Linked DNA regions of Coturnix japonica. The protein of the gene in region 2 binds, or shares a complex with, the protein of the main gene of each other region. Links are inferred from orthologs where the notes say so. Each region holds a gene or a part of one and is shown on either strand. Other genes may lie near its edges.

Evidence for each region.
Region 1: the proteins of GABARAPL1 (region 2) and NBR1 are in contact, whole or in part, in an NMR structure (PDB 2L8J), measured with the Homo sapiens proteins. The link is inferred for Coturnix japonica from reciprocal best matches to the Homo sapiens genes GABARAPL1 and NBR1. Residues at the interface, in NP_113600.1 of Homo sapiens: Glu12, Tyr13, Lys16, Glu17, Lys20, Ile21, Lys24, Tyr25, Arg28, Pro30, Lys48, Tyr49, Leu50, Val51, Pro52, Phe104; in NP_005890.2 of Homo sapiens: Ser729, Glu730, Asp731, Tyr732, Ile733, Ile734, Ile735, Leu736.
Region 3: the proteins of GABARAPL1 (region 2) and STBD1 are in contact, whole or in part, in a crystal structure (PDB 8X8A), measured with the Homo sapiens proteins. The link is inferred for Coturnix japonica from reciprocal best matches to the Homo sapiens genes GABARAPL1 and STBD1. Residues at the interface, in NP_113600.1 of Homo sapiens: Glu17, Ile21, Tyr25, Asp27, Arg28, Pro30, Val31, Ile32, Lys46, Lys48, Tyr49, Leu50, Val51, Pro52, Asp54, Leu55, Gly58, Gln59, Phe62, Leu63, Arg67, Phe104; in NP_003934.1 of Homo sapiens: Glu201, Glu202, Trp203, Glu204, Met205, Val206, Pro207, Arg208, His209, Ser210, Gly213.

Annotation. Positions count from the first base shown.
Region 1 is NC_029542.1:4,762,681-4,766,327, reverse strand, and holds part of NBR1 (next to BRCA1 gene 1 protein), read right to left. Parts: intron 3,006-3,647; coding exon 2,930-3,005; intron 2,498-2,929; coding exon 2,396-2,497; intron 1,908-2,395; coding exon 1,746-1,907; intron 890-1,745; coding exon 532-889; intron 240-531; coding exon 145-239; intron 1-144. UniProt on the Homo sapiens protein: Ubiquitin-binding autophagy adapter that participates in different processes including host defense or intracellular homeostasis.
Region 2 is NC_029516.1:70,390,275-70,394,452, forward strand, and holds the start of GABARAPL1 (gamma-aminobutyric acid receptor-associated protein-like 1), read right to left. Parts: upstream 2,819-4,178; 5' UTR 2,680-2,818; coding exon 2,590-2,679; intron 1-2,589. UniProt on the Homo sapiens protein: Ubiquitin-like modifier that increases cell-surface expression of kappa-type opioid receptor through facilitating anterograde intracellular trafficking of the receptor. Involved in formation of autophagosomal vacuoles.
Region 3 is NC_029519.1:44,505,296-44,509,217, reverse strand, and holds STBD1 (starch-binding domain-containing protein 1), read left to right. Parts: upstream 1-1,325; 5' UTR 1,326-1,358; coding exon 1,359-1,608; intron 1,609-1,707; coding exon 1,708-2,531; 3' UTR 2,532-3,306; downstream 3,307-3,922. UniProt on the Homo sapiens protein: Acts as a cargo receptor for glycogen. Delivers its cargo to an autophagic pathway called glycophagy, resulting in the transport of glycogen to lysosomes.

The DNA.
Region 1 (3,647 bases), on a different chromosome or scaffold from region 2:
ATTTTAAACACCCCCAGAGAAACAGATTAGTATTACTTGGGTAGGTTTCTGTTCCCCTCAAGGATAGAAGACATGAAATTCAACTGCAGGTGTAAAGAATAGGATGCAACTATGTATGCACCCTTCAGTAAGTACAGTCATTACCTTCTCTTATTTGATTACAAGGAGTGGAAGAGACATTCTCCAAAGTTGGTCTGTTTGGCTCTTGGAAGATATGATTCTGAAGAGATGCAAGATTTCTGAAAACATAAAGCAGAACAATTACTTTTTCCCTTCCATTCAATGTGCCCACATGTAGGTAAGTTTAGGTAAAAAAAGCAAAAGGAAATCTTCACGTACTCCCTTATTTCCTTTTCTACTCACAGATTAGCTATGCACAAATGGCTTTATAAAAAAAGTAACAGGATATACGATGGACAGGCACATGCAAAACTGATTTTTTTTGGCAACAATTTCTATTTTGACACTGAAGTTGAATGCAACATCCTGTAAAGCCTGCAGCAACTCTTTATTCTTGTCCTAGAATCATACCTTTCTGACTGGGGTAAGGTGTCCACAACCTCAGAGGCCAACGGTACTACAGCCAGTGTATGTGAAGTTGTCAAAATGTTACTGATGCTATGCATCTGTGGCTGCCTTTCCCCTTCTGAATTCCCTGCCCCTGTTTCAGATTCTCCCATCTTTTCCAGGCTGGGCTGAGAAAGAGCTGAGCTATACATGGACTCCCCTAAAGGACGACTGGTATCAAAGCACTCAGGGAGAATAATGATATAATCCTCTGATGAAGCAGAAGAGCCTTGACTTTGAACATCATCTTTATCATCATCTTCATCAGATCTGACTGTACTGCTAGAGCGGTCTGTTCTCTCATCAGACAGCAGAAGCTCATCTAAAAAGAATGAAAAGGGTATTAAAAATTGTCTATTTTGTGTGGATAAGACCAAAAGCAGTAGTGTTCCAGGTGTAAAGGGCAATCATTCAGACATAACTTTAAACCTTTGCTACCAATGTTAACTGTGTAAGAGCTTTTTTTATTAATATTATTTCACGAGAGGAGAAGGGAGGTATTGATCTCATATTAAATTTAAGTGGAATATAACAGAAGTAACAGGTACACTGAGAACAGCAGTTTTCAGCTCCTACATTATATGTATCAGATCTACGCACAGGCGTCAAACTACGCATGCAAACTATGCAAGTGCTAGCCATCTATGAGCACTTATCTGAATGACTGGGGTAATGAATGGAACATTGACTGGAAGCATTATCTCAATTTCACTTTTTATTTTTCTTCCTTTAATTAACTTTGCTAGCTCTCAAAACAGCTGTTCAAAGCAATGACAACAATATTCTGATGTAACATTGATCCTTGGTACAACGTGAGAACCAAAGCCCCAGAACACCAGACCTTTTTGTAACTGAATTTTTTTTTTTTCCGCCTGCAGCCCTTATTACAGCTTTACCCTCAATTTAGACTCATTTTACGTACTATTACCATTTTCTATCATTGCCTCTGACTGATGGATTTTTAATTCCTTTCTAGAAACAGAGTGAATTTTTATCCTAGTAGTTTCTTCATTTATCACCTTACAAATGAAAGCGTCTTGGAATGTTTGCAAAGAATCTAATACAGCAATCAGTAAAAATAATTTGAAAATTTATCATTAGCTGCAGTATAAATCAATTTGTGGCCAATATCTGCAAGGAAAATAACACCACAAAAGTCAGCTGAGTACAGTACTCACTCTTCTGCGATTTCTTTTTTTGTGGGGGTTTATGGTCAGGTGCAGCATCCAGAGTCAGAGAGCGAATTACAGTTTCGCACACAAACTGAGTCCCGCTCATATCTTCTTCCCCTTCTTCTTGGTTCAGTGGATGTTCAGTTTTCATTTTCACCACACAAGAATCTGTAGAAAAGCAGATTTCAATCATTCCTTTGAAAGGGAAACAACAGATTACTTGAATGTCACTAAAAGGAAACACAAGCATAAAACCATTTTTTTAAAGCTAGCCAAGGCTACTAATACTGATCCTATGTACTGATTATTCCTCAGAAATTGAAGATTTTGGAATTCATTTCAAGTTGAAATTGAATGCGAGTCTAATCTAGTCCTTAAAAGGCAAATTCTTAGTTCTCTCACCAATTCTACTAGGTAGCAAACTCATAAGAATCATGCTTTTCTGTTTCTGAATTTTAGATACATTACACTCCAAGCTTTATAGAGAATAGTATCAGATTATAGATTTATAATCCAATGAACTGGTTTTCCACAGATATGCAAAAAACAGGAGTTCAAATTCTTTAGGTAAATAAAACACAACTACTGTCCAGTTCTCAGATTTGACAATATCCTCCTCCCTCCCCATTCTCAGGCTCCCCATCACTACTGCTTACCAGACACTGGTTTACCCTCATTCTCCTCCTCTATCTGATCTAAGCCAGGTTTCTCTAGCAAGAGGCTATCATGCGGCAAAGGGGACATGCAGGGAGTCACATCTGTAAAACAGAAATTATGAAGATGACCGTCATTGAAGTAATAGGAACCTTCCTCAAGAAAGTAACTTTTTAAGATCCTTTCTTAAAGAACGTTCTTCGAAGGCAGCAGAGTTGTAAGACACTTTGGCAAAATTGACAATTAACTCTGCAATCACCAGCACTTGTCAAGGAAAGCAAATGGCAACCTTCTAGAATGCCTGGAATCTTATGGTCCTGGGAATGCGAAATTGAAAAGAAGAAAGTGACAAGTGACAACTAAATCTCCTCTAGTGATGCACAAAACAAACAAAACAAAAACACAAACAAAAAAAAAACAACACAGGAACTAGGAAGACACTTCAGCCTGAAAAACAAAAACTTTTGCCCAAACAAATTTTCACTGAGTAAACGGTAAAATGGAATGCTAGCAACAGTTCACCAGAATATCCTTACCAACAGGAGTATTGTGTGGCACTCGCTCTAATTCCTGTACAATATTGATGTCCAGTAGCTCAAAGGACAGCAAATCCTAGAGAAAGAAATCCTACAGTTTTCATCAACAAGCAATGAACTGGAATCATAATGTGGTAGTTCCCAGCATCAGATCCCCGGAATCCATTATTGTTTAGTCTGGAGAAGATGAAGTTCAGGGGTGACCTTATCACTCTCTACAACTACCTGAAGGGAGGCTGTGGTGAGGTAGGAGTTGGCCTCTTTTCCCATGTAACTAGCAAGAGAACTAGAAAAAAAATGGCCTCAAGTTGCACCATGGGAGATTCAGGTTGGACATTAGGAAATACTTCTCTAAGAAAGTAATCAGTCACTGGAATAAACTGCCCAGGGAGGTGGTGGAATCACCAACCCTGAAGTGTTCAAAAAATGTTCAGATGTTGTACTGGGAGACATGTTTTAGTGGAAAACATTGGTGATAGGTAGACAGTTGGACTGGATGATCTTAGAGATCTTTCGACACTAGAGAAAACAACACACAGATTAAGGCAGTGAGAGGGAAAATTAAGTACTCGATTGTCAGAGGTCAAAGAAAGACCCCACACCACAACTCTTCAAGGAAAATCTCAGCACATATTTTAATTACAGTGACAGACCCCATAATAATTCAAGGAAATTGTTCTGCTGCTATATTAAATGCAGTACTCTCTTCCTGAAAACA
Region 2 (4,178 bases):
CACGTTTCCATGGAAATACTGTGTGCATGTGGAAAGAAAATGCAGCCACTGGTAGGTTTGTTTTTTTTCCTGGTATGTATTTTTGATCAAGTAGAGAGATATATTACATGATTCAATCTATGTGGCTTACTGTTCTTCAGAAACCATTTTGACCTTCCCTGAGACACTGTGAGACTAATTTCTAAGAATCATAGAATTGCTCAGGTTGGAAAAGACCCTGAAGATCATCACATCCAACCGCAGCCTAACCATAGTACCCTAACTCTAACAACCCTCTGCTAAATCATATCCCTGAGTACCACATCCAAACGGCTCTTAAACACATCCAGGGATGGCGATTCAACCACCTCCCTGGGAAGCCAAAATCAGCAGCTGTGTCAGCTGTGCAATAGTAAAGGCTGGACTGTTGTGCTTCGTGTTTCCTTCCTTCTTTGGAAGGAAAATGGTGTTGTCACATCAATGAAACAGTACACCAAAGGAAAAAGACATGATAAGCTTTGTGTATTAACTTGGCATGGCACTTTTTCCAACCAAACACTCCTCGTTCCAGATTCAAGTATCCACAAAGCATGTCACACAGTAGAGATGCTGGCTTGGATACCTGTATACTCTTCTCCATTTAGATGCCTCCAATGCAGCCAAAAGCCCTGAAAATTCTAGGTTTCTTCCTAAAACACAAACGTAGTTTGCTAGTTCAAGAACCTCAACTACTAGGCAACTGAGCTCTTTCACACTAAGTTTGTGTTAGGACATACATTTCCATACAAGATAAAATTGACAAGTGTTGTGAAGGAAAGGTAGTTGCACAACCTCACTACACAGCTTCAGACTGACCAGCAACAGTACTTTGCCTATTTTCTTACCCTGAAACGCTACATGGTAGCATCAAATAAACTGAAGTAGAAAAAAAGCCTTTAGTTTTTGCTTTCAATTTAGAAGATTGGTAAGCAGAACTGTCAGGTAGCAACAGTGACAGGACCAAGCTGACTCAAAAGGATGGCATGTAGCTTAGTCATTAGATAAAGGAAAAGAAGATAGGGGGTACCTTGATTTATGAGGACAAGGTGAGCTCTGAGGATTCTAAACCCCTAGAAAGGATTCAAATTAAATAATCAAGTTTGAGACAGATCTCCCTCTTGCAAAGAGGGAAAAATGGAGGTGTTTTCCTAGATAATCAACTGTAGTAAGTTTCCCTGATAACCCAGGCAAGGTATCTCTTCTAAAGGTTACTTTGCACAGAGAGACAAACTTACAAAGACAATCCAAAGGGCAGATATATTATCTTGATGTCTGTTGCTGCTGGGTGACTGTGGTAACAATGGACTGGGCCAGCATTATAATTTCAGCAAAATGCAGACATATCACAACAGTGAAGTGCCAGCAGCCAATGGGACATTGCTGTCAAGGATCCTACTGTCGTGAAGGGCAGTGACAGAAGTGATTAAATACGTCTGTTGCACTCTGTGCAGCTCTGACAACAAGCCTTCCCCAGCAATCCACACCAGGCCTCTCCAAGCAGTGTTTTCACTTCCCCTTAGCTGCAGCACAGCTCACTTAGTTTGATCCTGTTTTTGTCCATTACACTCTACTAAAGCCCCTCTGTCTTGGCATTTTTACTCCTTGCCAGACCAGGTCTGTTGCTGGGCTCTCCACATAGTTCTTCCAGTCACTTCTATCATGACCTGCTGCATTACCTGCCACTCTCCTGACCAGCTGAGCCTGCTGTGGCCGTCATCTCAAAAGACAGACCTGCATACACTGCATGCTCAATTACTCTCATCCTACAGGGAAAAGCTCAGGTGAAACAGTTCTTTTGCACACTGCACCTCTGGTCACCCCAATCTAGGACAGAACTCTCCAGTGTTACAAAACAAACAAAATAAACCCTAGTGTTACTATTTCTTTTTGCAATTATTGCCACAAATTATAAAGCCAGGAGTTTTCCACTGAGATTCCAGACAGTCCTAAGGACAAGAAAGGAAAGTTCAGCTCGAAAATGATCTTGTTTTCCAAATGATGCTTTTTGGGTGATTAAAGAGTAGGGAAGTAAGACTGGGAATTATTATTGAGCATCCATCTCTTTTTAACTCTCATGCAAAACACAAAGCTGAAAAGAACGGAGCTGGACTACACTGAAAAGCAAGCTCCAAAAAGAAAAAGGTATAAAATAAAAACAAAACATCTGATAACAGCGATTTAGGCCTTTTTTTTTTTCCTTACAGAGAACGCCTGTTTCACACATTCATTGTTCTCCTCCATTTTCCCAGAGCAAGTCGTAAGCTCCTTCCCCACCCTCCAGCCCCACACGCATAGGCTGCCATAATAAGATTAACAGCGTTCTTGCTGTCGAATTACTGCGGATGCCCGAAAAAGACCCCCACACCCACCCACGGACCTTGGCGTAGAACAACAAATACGGTGGCACTAAAGAGAAAGCAATCCGGAATTAATACCGACACGCCAAAGTCATCTTTCCCAATCCCGTTCCTTGCAAAAGAAGCAAAGCAGCAGACGGCAACGACAAGGACAGCAAAGAATGGCGACATTTGCACAGCCAGCCCGAGGGCAGCGCTCGTCCAGCACACTCACAGGGACTCTGTCGGGGTATTTCTTCCTGATTTTCTCCCCTTCTTTTTTCCTGTACTCGAACGGGTGGTCTTCCTTGTACTGGAACTTCATGATGCGACACAACCGAGCCGGCCACTACCGTCCCTCCGTCACCTATGACCGGGCACTCAGCAAACCCTACTACGCCCGCGCAGCGCACGCAAACCCAGCGCAGCGCAGCGCAGCCCCGCACTGTGCTGTTGCGGGACGTCACAGCGACATACCCTCCCCTTCCGGCACTGTCGGCATTGCAGCGGGGTGGGGGCACTGTCTCGTGTGTGTGTGTGTGGGGGGGGGATGTGCTGGGTCTTTGTGTTTACATTCGGTTACTGTGCTTTTCGGGTTACCTAATGGTAACAATTCTAAAAGAAAGATCAAAAAATCCACAAAAACACAGCCACCAAAATAATGTGCGTGACTCAGGGGTTACCCACGCACCACCGTCAGAGGTGTCCCCGTCCAATGAGTCTCTTCTGTACGTGGTTGTGATTGATATAGTGTGCGTGTAGTATTACGGACTGGAAAACGTGTTGTAAAGCTGTTCTGTTTTGACAAGAGACCCTCAGCAAAAGAAACGCAATAATGAAAGCTGAGACCTCCACATGAGGCCAAATTGTCTCCTTCTCTAGGTGTCAAGGATTTCCCCTCTATCCTTCTACAACCCAGTATATATTATTAAAAAGAAGTTAACACCCCGGTATATATCACTAAAAGACAGGTTGCCAAACTTATCTCTATCCAAGGATGAGCAGATGTCCAGAAATAATGGCCAAGTGCTGAGTGAGCAAATGTTACAATTTTAGTACCTATAAATTACTTACAATATGCGTTATCGAGCATGCATCAGTGAAGAAAGTTCATCTAGAGGACAAGTGAGGAAGACCACTGGATGAAGTAAAAGACTGTCAATTGGACTGCCATGATGCTAAAAGGACACTAGACAGTAGAAGAGACCATGGAATAGAAGACTGGAAATCTCATCCATCTCTACCTGTGTTAAGTGTGTGTAAGTTAGTTGTCTCAAGTATAATTGATGAGTATGTACTATCTGTGGAAATATAATGGATGGGGAATCATGTAATCTTGGAAGCACTTATGGTGGAAGACGAAAGATGGATGCTCCATTGCAATGCTCTGTAAGGGCATCGTGACAAAATAGTAAGTAATAAAAATAATATCAGGAGAACAGGATCAGGAAGAAGCCCTGGTCCTTTTCTAGAAATACTCATACACATCTTTTAGACTGCTCCAAGAAATTCGTACTTCAGACATTAATGGTTTCTTTATCCCTATATGCTTATACACATAAGTCTTGCCTGAAGGGAAGGAGTTATCCCAACACTGGGAAGGACCTACTGCAAATCCCCACAGCAGATTTAGGGTGCTAGTTTGTGCTCTCTGCCCTGGAGAGAGCTGTTTATCATATATTGCCCACCACCCACCTTTACACTCTATAGCCCACTGCTTCTTGAATTCAGAGGTAATGCTCTCTCCAAGCCGTGGTGACTGTGATCTCTCATCATGCATGAAGGAGAGATATGGAGGAAGTATATTCACTTAGAAGCAGATAT
Region 3 (3,922 bases), on a different chromosome or scaffold from region 2:
AAAATACAATCTACTGTGCCTATTTTAAGTACCAAGGCTAAACTGAAGGTAAACAGCCCCTTGAAACATCAACAGTTGTAAAGGAGACTGCACCCAAAACCAGATCCGCTGAGGAAGTGCCCAGGCAGGTCCCAGCTTCTCAGCTCTTTCCTTTCTATGTATTACTGGTCAGAAGATCTGAGCAATACATGTTTTACATGTCTGAACTCATTCCACACACCAAAGAAGCTGTCTGTACTTAAGCACAAGCTCAGCACTTTGTTAGACTGGGGCTTTAGGGAAGGCTTACTGTGTTTAACAAAAAAAGAGAATTAAACCGAAAAAAAAAAAAAAAAAAGAAAAAAAAAACCTGAATGATGTATTCTGTTATTCACACAGGCCCCCATTTAGCTCATAAGCCAGGAAACTTCACTCTGAAGATTGCACACTTGTGCTTCTATAAATCTGAGTGACATTTACTGTCCTGTTAAGCTGAGGTAGCGCTGCTCTTAATGACACAGAGAGATTAAGAAGTTTACACACTGGAAATAGAGTTATTCAGACGTTAGCCATTCTCTTTTCTGATGATCAAATCACATCAGTGGGCTTTAGAAATCAACAGCTCTGTTCACATAAAGAGAAAGGATATTAAACGAACAAACAAACAAACAGTGGTAAAACCATCTGGAAGTGCTTCTGTAACTCTTCTGGAGTTAAATCTTTGGTGCTAATAGCCCAGCACCTGCTGGACTGAGAAACTGTATCTACTAGACTTTATGATTAGCTAATGTTAGATTTATTTGTGTGATTGTTTCATTTGGCATTAAGATTTGACATCATTACTCCAAGAGGAACAGAACTGGGTATTAATATGAAGTTAAATCAAATAATTGTCAATTATTTTCTGTATTAATAGAATTTGAAGCCCTGGTAGTCCAAAAAAGCTTCCTGAGCTTAGAAATGAGGATGATGGAAGAGCAGAACAATGCTGTGAAATCCAATTGTAGGCATTAGGGCACGTTGCACAGGTTACAAAATGAACAGCAAGTTAAACTGAGTTCTTCAGGGACACCAGAGGAAGCCTGGCTTTTTTTTCATCACCAGCACCGCTCGACTGCACAGCCTTCTGCGGTTACTACAGCTCCAGGTTCACCAGTCGCAAACGCTTTCTTTCAAAAACAAAAGATCATCAAGCATTCTGTCCACAACGCAAACCTTTTAGCTCACTACCCCTCTCGCAGCCGCCCGCTCCAGGGGCGGCCCAATGGTGCTGAGGCAAGCAGCGGCCCGCCCCAGGGGCGGCTCCTCCCGGGCCCGGAGCTCGCTTAAAGCCGCGGCCGGGACAAGGCTGGTAGAAGCCCCACTGCCAGTGTCTGGTCATGGCCCGCGACCGCGGCTCGCCCGTGCTGTGGCAGTCCCCGGCTTCCCCCCGCTTGCCTGCAGCCGCTCTACCGGCTGAGGCCCGCGGCTGGGGATGGCTGGGAGCGGGGCTGTGGCCGGCGCTGGTGGTGGGGCTTCTTGCCGCCCTGGTCGCCTGGTTCTGGTACGGCAGCAGCGACGGACGGGGAGAGGAGAGCGGCGAGGCGGCCCCGACGGTCCAGCAGGCGAGGGGAGAGGCGGAGGCTGCAGGTAGCGGGCTGGGGTAATGCGGGCTGCCCGTGCCCACCTGCGAGGGCTCGAGTTAACTGCGTTGCTTCAATTGCGTCTGTTTTAATTCTCTGTTCTTAGAGGACCTTCTGGTGAGCAGTGAGGAAGTGCTGCGGCAAGCGAAGGCTGCTGCTCTGTCCAGCCCTCAGAAACCAGGAGAGGATTTGACGGCAACACGAGGGAATGAACTTAACCATATTGTGAGCGGTACGGTTTCCTGTAAGTCACCAGAGACGGAGCAACTGCCGCCAAAGCAGCGTGTCACCTCCTCCGGGACTGATGCTAGGCAGTGTCTGATTGATGCACGTGATGGTCAGGGAGGAGACTCGAGACCACAGGTGGGACAGGCAGGTGAGGGATGGTGTGTGATGAATTCGGCAGGAGCCTCTGGTGAGATTTGTAAGGACAGAAGCGAGGGGCAGGTCTGCCAGCCAGCTGAGAGCCATGACTTGGACCATGAAGACTGGGAAGTTCTTTCTGAGCACCTGGACTGGGGGGAGGCCGGTCAGAATGGCAGCATGGAAGACTCGGACAGCAAAGAATGGGAACAAGGAGACTGCTCTGATGGGGACTTGAAAGCAAAGAGAGTTGCAGCAGTGCCCCCAATGTTTCAGAATATCCATGTGACTTTCCGCGTGCACTACATCACACACTCTGGTGCTCAGCTGATCGGTGTTACCGGTGACCATGAGTGTCTAGGCCAGTGGCACAGTTACGTTCCTCTCAAGTATGACAAGGATGGCTTCTGGTCTCAGTCTGTTACCTTGCCGGTGGACACCAAAGTAGAGTGGAAATTTATCTTGGTGGAGAACGGGAAGGTCACACGTTGGGAAGAATGTGGTAATAGGACTCTAGTGACTGAACATGAAGATCAAATCGCTCATCAGTGGTGGGGATACCACTGACTGCATTTTGGATGCTGCTTATCTAAACCTGCTTAGATTAATCACAGAGCCCTAAACTTTCTCCCTCTTCAGTAGGATTCCTTCATGACTGCGCAGCTCTGTAAGTCCCATGTCAAACCTAATTAAACTGTGTGAGCAGTAGATCATGGTCATCCCCCCCACTTTAGGAAGTCATTTGGCAACTGAAAAATCAACCCTGGCCATCTTCTGAAGATGTGCTGAGTAGGATTCGAAGGCATGAGCAGCATTCTGAGCTGCTGCCTGTCTGGATAATTCTGGACCCTGGACTTGAGTTTGTGCTGCTTTGAGTGGGGCTGTGGGACGTGCTGGTGGCTTAGAGCTTTAAAAGCATACTAGGAAGCGTGGTTACCTACACTGTAAGATGAACTTAAATGTTTTAACTTATGTAATGTATCAAGTAAGCAATAAACACTTTTGGACTAATGGTCCTTTATAACACGACCTGTGAACTGGCTATAAATTGCATAGAACAGATTTGGGTTCCTTGACTGAAAATCTTAGTGCTAAATGACTCCTGAAAAGTAACAGGCACTCTTTAGAGTGACAATGTTTGTTTCTTACCCCCTGCTCTCTAGGAAGCACCCCAGCTCAAAGGAAGGCTTGGCAGATGCATTTATTTTTTTCAGCTGTATCATCACAGTGAGATGGGGAGCAAAGGTCAGAAATGACTGTCTGGGCTTAATAAATTACTTTGTCAGAGTGAGAGCAGGCTTTAAAAAAAAAACAACAAAAAACAAACAAACAAAAAAAACAACCCCAAACAAACAGAACCAAAGCTGCTGTAATACTCAGGGGCTAGAGTTCTTCCTGAAATAGTTACATGGCATATACTGCTTGTGAAAGCAATAAACTATAGTTAAAAAATACTTGGAATAACTATAGTTAAATAATGGAATGCTTGTTTCAAGGCAAGTCTTTACTTTGTGCAGAGCACTTCCAGCATCAACTGGTTGCTTCTGTTTTGTAAAAATAAGATACCTGCTCCTCTGTCTGCTTTTCATATTGTTAGTTCTAAATATGATGCTGCTTGCAGCAAGCTCCTCTCAAAAATGAGGAACCTAGTTTGCAAATATCCCTTCATCACAATTCACTACAACAAACCTGCTCTGGAGAGAATAGTTTCATTGGGGGTTTGGAACATACACTTCAAAAACCCATTGCAAAGCTCATAGTCTCTGCTTATGTTTAGCTGTTTAACATAGTGGAGCAGTCTGAGTAGGTGAACTAGACTGTTTTTGAGTGCTAGTTTGTGTTCTCAGGTAGATCAAGCTCCTCCCAACAGTCACATATGTGACGGCAACTTGTTCTGTGAGTTAGTTACTTCAGATAACATTATCTTTGCTTACTGGTTGTCTTGAACAACCTAAAGA